Drosophila melanogaster: one gene and its partner. The protein of the gene in region 1 interacts with the protein of each later gene in a pairwise test. Each region holds a gene or a part of one and is shown in the gene's direction. Other genes may lie near its edges. The genes, in order: CG9706 and CG13245.

Region 1 (3,927 bases):
CACTTGACCCCAAGGGGAACTTGGCCCCTATGCAGAGCCTTTATGGGGCCAAATAGGCGCCGAAAGTTCACATTATTTCACAAGGTTCGCTCTTTTGTATGAAAACCAAATACAACCTTTTGAAATAGTAAAAGAATAGCATGGAAGCTTGTAATTTCTAAAGCAAAAGCTTTCTATAATGTTTTAAACTGCATTTGTTGAATTAGATGAGCAAACATAATGAAACAAACAGTAATTAGTAATCGAACATGGAACACTTTATTGGTTCCACATTTACATTTAATATATTTATTTTTATGTGTATATACTTATAAATATTTTTATAACCGTAAGGACCATTTTTTTTGAAAGTTTAAATTTGTAAACCCCATACTTTTTCAATTATTTCATTGTACATACATACATACATTCAGAAATCAGTCGCTGCCGAATTTATAAGCTCTCGGAACCCTTTCGAACATAATCCACGTACTTAAATTCTTCCCCCTCATATCCCCATGCGCATCCTCCATTGATTAACTTGTCTCTTCCTGCTTAATTCTTTTCCCAAACGCTGCCAAAACGCAAACACGCGCAAACTCAAAATAACGCTGAAAAAACATAGCTCCGCTCGGGCCTTGGAAAATCCGGTTGTGACCGGTATGGTGAAATCCTTCAGCCGCACCAAAGGACACGGCTTCATTACACCCAACGCCGGCGGAGAGGACGTTTTTTGCCACGTTTCCGAGTAAGTGAATGAATATTGCATGCGCGGCGACCTTTGCGCTGGCTCTGTAAGACCTACAAAAATGTAATCTTCCCACAGCATCGAAGGTGAATATGTGCCCATGCCCGGGGACGAGGTCAAATACCGTCTGTGCGCCATTCCGCCCAAGTATGAGAAGCACCAGGCCGTGCACGTGCAGATTAGCCACCTGACGCCGGAGGTGCACCACAAGTGGGAGGAGCCATTCTATGGTGGCTCCTCGCCCGCTAAGTAAAGCTGAAGCTTGTGGCCCTGGGAGATTTCGAAGCTCGGAAGCGGAAAAGTGTGTTGTTAAAAGCTGAACGGCCTTCCAAGAAATTTAATTGAGCTAGAGCACGCCACCCGAGATGAACGAAACGGAAAACCGGAACAGAACAATAACCATGAAAGTAAACGAAAGCACAGCAATCGAAGCAGCCAGGAAAAAGCCGAAACCAGACCAGAACGTAATAGAATGGAACAACAGGCCTGCCATCCAGCCAGCCAGCGAGCAGCATCACAAGAGTTTCAATTGAACACTTAATTAGAATTTAAGCTAAGCTATGGAAGTCAAACAAAACGCAGTCACAAATATTGCCTTTCCCTCTGGAAGAGGGGAGAGCAACCGCAACCAGTTTCGAGTATATTATTAAAAGCGCGTATGTATTTGGAAATTGAAATTGTTATTCGAGAAGCCACTAGCACAGCGCCTGCGATGCTGTGGTGCCCTGTATCAGTAATTACTTTTAATTATAACAAAACATCTGAATGTGTTCGCGAAGCAAACAAGCAAAATGCTCTCAGTAATTCACTTTATTATTAAAACAGCTGCAAAACAATTCCATCGGTGATTTTTCTGGAGTGGCGTGGGAGTTATCAGCATGGAGTGTGTATTGTACGCACAATTGCGGTCAGCATAATAGCCGCTTGCTTGTATGTGTTCTAATAAAATTTTATGCAAAATTATTAATCTTACGTTTTTATTACGGCATCTAAATGTTCATTTTAGATATTAGCTAATGTCTGATTGTAATATCACGATATTCATAACATGGCAAAATATTGTTTTAGCCGCAGCTGTAACTTGTATTTAATTTAGTGGTGTATCTTATCTGCAGTGAAAGCAGATACTTTTTGCAGCCCAAAGCATACATGAATTTTTGGCTCACTATTGAAAATATATTTCCTGCGTTCTGCAGAAAATCGAAACCGTAACATATTCAATAAAAAAAAACCAACCTTTTTGCCACAATAGATACCTAAAGATTTCCGCCCGCTAAATTTATCAAGTAGAGCCATAAATAGCCAAACCAACTCATACTCCTAAAATTATGGATTTCCATTTCGTAAGTCTCCCGCCACTCAGTTTGAATTTCGAATGATTAGTGTGACCATGCGGCGGTTTATAGCAACTGCATGCGTAGTGCGACAGAGAGTTGCTATAAAAATATATTGGAACGTCAACAAACATATGCCACGAAAGAAAATATTCCGATTCAACGGAAAATGAATTAATTAAAGACCGAACTGGCAGATATTCAGAAAGCCATTCGATCGTACATTTAACCAAATTAAAGGCATCGAGGGAATTGTATCGGGAAAATACGTAAAAAGCTCTACATTTGAGTGACGTGGTGTTATTTGTTGGTGATTAGAAAAACAGGTGAGCCTGTGGCCCCCAAACTAGCATGTCTTTATAATATATACCTATCGCTATTTGATCAGCATGTCCGCCATAAGGAGAAAGCCAACGGGCAGCAATGCCGACCAGGAGTTGCTCATCGACGAGCCACCAAAGTCGGAAAAGGTGGCGGAGCACCAGAAACCAGATATTCGTGGAGACCGGAGGAATATAGCCATACTGCTGTTCCTGTACGTTCTACAGGGCATTCCCATCGGGCTCATAGCAGCCATACCAATGTTGCTGCAAAATAGAGGAGCTAGCTACAAACAACAGGCGGAGTTTTCATTCGCCTACTGGCCATTCAGCTTAAAGCTGCTGTGGGCTCCAATTGTGGATTCCCTGTACATCCGGCGATTTGGACGCCGGAAATCGTGGCTAGTCCCAGTGCAATACCTTCTGGGAGCCTTTATGTTACTCCTCTCCCTCCACGTGGATCGCTGGCTGGGCGGGAACGGTGTCGATCCCAATGTGCCGCTCCTGACGCTGCTCTTCTTCCTGCTTAACTTCCTGGCTGCCACTCAGGACATCGCCGTGGATGGCTGGGCCTTGACCATGCTGAAGCGATGCAATGTTGGATACGCATCCACCTGCAATAGCGTGGGCCAAACAGCTGGCTACTTCTTGGGCTATGTGGTGTTCATTGCCCTGGAGTCCAAGGATTTCTGCAACACCTACATAAGAGACGTGCCACTCGAGGATGGCATGATCACATTGCCCCGTTTCCTTTGGTTCTGGGGCATTACATTTGTGGTAGCCACTACTTTGGTGGCAATTTTCAAGAAGGAGAACGACATCGAAGACGCGCATATGGACGCTCGCTACACGGAGGAGCACGAGTTGAACATCCATGAGAGCTACAAGATATTGTGGGACATGGTGTGCATGCGTCCCGTCCAAATTCTGGCTGTAATTCTGCTCACCGTGAAGGTCACGTTCGCAGCCTCTGATGCAGTGACCAGCTTAAAACTCATTGACGCTGGTGTACCGAAGGATAAGCTGGCTTTACTCGCCATTCCCCTAATTCCTCTGCAGCTCATTCTGCCGCTGGCGGTCGGTCGATATACGAACGGACCACGTCCGATGGACGTCTATCTGAAGGCCATTCCCTATCGCATCATCATGGCAACAGTGGCCACTGGCTTGGCCTACATCACACCCTATATTGTCCGTGGAGGAGCCGTGCCTGCTTATTACTACGTCCTGCTGATCACCAGTTATGCCATCTACCAAGTATTCCTGTACTCCATGTTTGTGGCCGCCATGGCCTTTTTCGCCAAGATCTCCGATCCAGCCGTCGGTGGCACTTACATGACATTTTTGAACACATTGTGCAATCTGGGCGGTAATTGGCCCAACACAGTGGTGTTGTGGTTGGTGGACGTGCTCACCTGGAAGCAGTGCTCCAATAATGCGGAAAATACCTGCCAGGGCAAGGAGGAGCAACAGGTGAGTGCTCAGAGAGAGATTCTACAGCATACAAGATTATTATTATTATTGTATATGGATACATATGTATGGT
Region 2 (3,846 bases), on another chromosome or scaffold:
GAAATATCATGCTAATTGAAAATTTTTATCAGACCATTTGCGTTTTTGTTTTTGAGCTTCCTTATCAAAACTAATGTATTGGTTTGTGAACCAAATTACATTGAGGTTTAATTAAAAAAGAAATTTATGGCTAGGAGCGCGTCAATTTGTTTTCAACTGTGGCAGTTTTTAAACGAAAATATTTTGGTGACTGGAACCGTTGTCAAAAAGTTCGTTCAATTGACCTGTCTTCGCTATTCAAGCGTGGCTAAAAAATACAACCGAATAGCTGAACAAAAACTGTCAGATCCATGACCTACATAAGTACGTCGTGTAACCAAATAGATTGGAAGGTTTTCGAACGAATATTTTGTTTTTCCCCTGCATTCGCTTCGTATGCAAAACCAAAACAAGCAGCTTTCAGATTTTGACCATTTTTCCATTGTTTTGCTAGTCTCTCGAATGGAAACTTTTGCCTGCCCATTTCATTCGTTTTTTGCGGGCTAGCTAACAAAAGTTCGAATGTTAAATGATTTTCATGGCGCAAACTTTGGCAACCCTGAAACTGGACCCCGGTCATTTGTTAGCCTGTCAGAAAGGCAACAAAAATGGGCGCAAATATGCAAGTCTGGCTGACACGTGAATTTATTGCATTCAAAAATATGAAAAGTTCCAATAAAAAGTGCAACAACAGGGTACTACAGGGTATTAGTACAGCGGGCCAAAGCAGCCCCATTCCCAGCAATTTTTGCATTTGTTCGGCACAAAATAGAAAGGTGGCGCACAACCGCCGCTGCAACATCCGCAGTTGCAGGTGCATTTCATGCAGGGCAGCAGGGGACCCACGGGGCCGTAGGTCAAGCGGTACGAGACCACGGCACAGGGCGGTGGGCCACAGCATCCGCCACTGGATCCACCACATGAACCGCCACATGATCCGCCGCAGGATCCGCCGCAGCATCCTCCTGTACCGCCCCTGCAACAGGAACCACCAACACAGCAGGATCCACAGCAGCCACCTCCGCCGCAGGGCTTACAACCAGACCCACAGGATCCAAACTGCGGTCGGCATCGCGGTGCAGCACAACTCATCCTAGAAATTACTTAGCCCTTTGCAACCTGTTGCTAAGTACTTGCCGCTAAAAAAAATGCTAAATACTCCGGGGCAGTGATGGACAGTCAGCTCACAGCTCCAGGCGCCTATTTAGCACCTTTTTTGTCCGCCAATAGTCACAAGTCCACTGGGAAAATTTTATAATTCCTGTCGAATAAAAACTCTTGCAGTTTCCTCAAGTATTTACTGGAAAAGTGACACCAAAGGCAAGGATACATGCGGTTGAAAACATTTTAAATTAGAATCGTATCGAATAAACATATATTGGAGACTAAGTAATTCCATGTATAATTTGCAATTTATATGGTAACTTAACGATTTTTCTTCCTATAAAAGTCTATAAAAGTACTTTTATTCCATCACTCTATTTTTGTCACCAAAACATTGCAATTAAAATTACATCTCAATTACACATCCTGCCTTGCGGTACCATTTAAAACCGACGTATGGTCGCTAGGAATATCCAACCAGAACCACCACGCTTCGTCGAACCCATGTCCTCTCAGTTACATTTGCACAGTTGACCATGCGTGGGTTTGTCTACTAGATCCTCACATGCAGACACCCTCTTACATGGCCTCTGGTCCGTCGGGAGATATTGTAATTGATTGTCTCCGCCTGGATGAATAGGAGTTGGATTGAAGTATCATGGACCGGAGTGGCAAAAACTTTCATCACGGTTCGTTATTCGGCGGATAGAAATTTGCATCGCCAACGGTCCGAGTTAAAACTCGTGGTAGAAGTAATAGAATTATGAAGTTGTTCTGAACAGTATGCAATCTCGTACTTTATTTTGTAACGCTTACTTGATTGGTTGTGTCACAGAGAACACCAATAGAGTAATTTAATTTATATATTCCCACAACATGCCATAATATGGTATATATGATTGAAGATCCCGGCTAAGGGCTTCCAAAATGTAGTTCACTTCAGCATCAGGGTGCCATCCACTCTCTCGTTCCGATTTAGCCAGCTTTCATTTTAGGCCAGATATCCAAAGCGTAGTCTAACCCGAGGGCGGCGTCGATGAGATTGTCAATAGCTGTCAGAGCGAAAAATCGCCTTTGCTCCCTGGGAAACCCAATCCACTTCAGTTCCTTTTCCACTTCGGCACCAAACACTCGATTTTGTGTCTGCTCCAGGGCCAATAACTATACACCCCACCCAAAAAAAAAAAAAACAATAGTAAAAAGAGCACACGTTTCGGAAAACCTAAACCAAGTCAAGATGTGTGGTGGCTGGGCCTGTGCCTCCTACAATATCGCCTGCTGCAATCCCCGCCTGTCGACACTGCGATTCTCTGGCCGCTGTTTCGCACCCACGCCCTGCGGTCCATGTGATGACTGTTCCATTTACGGCGGTTGCTGCGGTGGCTGCTGCGGGTGCTAGGTGATCTCTGACCTGGAGTAGCCACAGAGTTGGGTGGAGAGTCCGGAATTCAACTATCTTGAAGTAGGCCTTGGGAACTGTTGGCTGTCAGCCATGAAACAAATATCATTCAGTCCCAGTCCAGTCCTTGTCGGAACAACAACCTTAAACGTTCACCGGGGTAAGTTTCATTTATGCTTTTATAAAATTTTATTTAAAAATTTTATTTTTAATCATTCACATTTCCATATAGTTCCCACATCCGTTTCCTAACCATGTGTGGTGGCTGGGCTTGTGCCTCCTTTGACCTGGCCTGCAATAATCCTCCCTTGTCAACACTGCGTTTCACCGGTCGGGACTTTATACCCACGCCCTGCGGTCCTTGCGATAAGTGTTATGTTCTAGATACTAGCCGCAAGAAGAACACCAACAACTGCTATGTTCCGCACATCCTGTCTCCACTGGATGCGCAGCTCTGCACACTGGCGAGTACTCAGAAAAAAAAGGAAGACGAATAAACGCCAGGAGGAAATGCGGTCTTATACTACTAAAATTATCAGTGTAGATCTTCTTGTACCAGCCATTTCCATGGGAAACCAATAAAAATTTGAGGGACTAATACTGACTAAGTAAGTTTGTTCCTTAGTTAGAGATCTTGTACCTACGCTGTCGCGCCTAATTATTTTCATATTTTTCCTATCGGTATCCTGGTCCTGGTAAAACTGTCGACAATTTTAGTATATTTTTTTTTAAAGGAATATTAAATTTGAGCCATACAATTTCAAGAACCATTAGAGAAAGAATTATACCTCATGGTATACTTAGGATACTCAATCCTAGTAAGATTGTGCTATCTAGGATTTTGGTATATTTTCTTATTTTTCATATACGTATCAATGGAATATGAAATTTCTCAAGAAATTTGACAAATAGTAAATAAGAAGTTACTTGTTTAAGTACATTAATTTATTGAAAAGCTCGAACCATTGTGTAAGTGAAAATGTGGTTCAAACCAAAAGCACAAAAAAATTTCACGTCGTTTTCTTCAGGAATTGTCGTACCTTGGGTTTCTCAGTAAAAAGGCCCAAAGCAACCCCATTCGCCGGCACAACAGCACCTGTTAGGAGGACATGTCCAGGGACCACAGGGAGGATTGGGTCCACAGCAGCAGTTATTATAGTTCATGGCTGGCAGAGCGGGTCCGACGGGGCCATAAGCCAGGGCATAGGATACCGATCCACAAGCTCCTTGGCAACACATCTTCGGGAGGATAGGTTATAACTGAAGGAGATATTCGATAGAAAATCTTTCGGGGAAATTAGGACTACTCACATTTTGTTTAAGGCAAGAGAAATGCTTGAGTAAAGATTTCCAAAAATGTTGAA

What was found.
Region 2: the proteins of CG9706 (region 1) and CG13245 interact in a two-hybrid assay, tested with the Drosophila melanogaster proteins (one large-scale study listed by BioGRID).

What each region holds. Positions count from the first base shown.
Region 1 is NT_037436.4:16,780,859-16,784,785, forward strand, and holds the start of CG9706 (uncharacterized protein), read left to right. Parts: upstream 1-2,151; 5' UTR 2,152-2,387; intron 2,388-2,397; exon of another isoform or gene 2,398-2,449; 5' UTR 2,450-2,450; coding exon 2,451-3,854; intron 3,855-3,927. Other genes in the region: CG9705 (uncharacterized protein), read left to right, coding at 605-727, 806-980.
Region 2 is NT_033779.5:16,002,374-16,006,219, forward strand, and holds CG13245 (uncharacterized protein), read left to right. Parts: upstream 1-1,951; 5' UTR 1,952-2,320; coding exon of another isoform or gene 2,321-2,482; 5' UTR 2,483-2,642; intron 2,643-2,714; 5' UTR 2,715-2,736; coding exon 2,737-2,979; 3' UTR 2,980-3,088; downstream 3,089-3,846. Other genes in the region: CG34167 (uncharacterized protein), read right to left, coding at 688-1,071; CG43816 (uncharacterized protein), read left to right, coding at 2,321-2,482; CG31820 (uncharacterized protein), read right to left, coding at 3,533-3,721.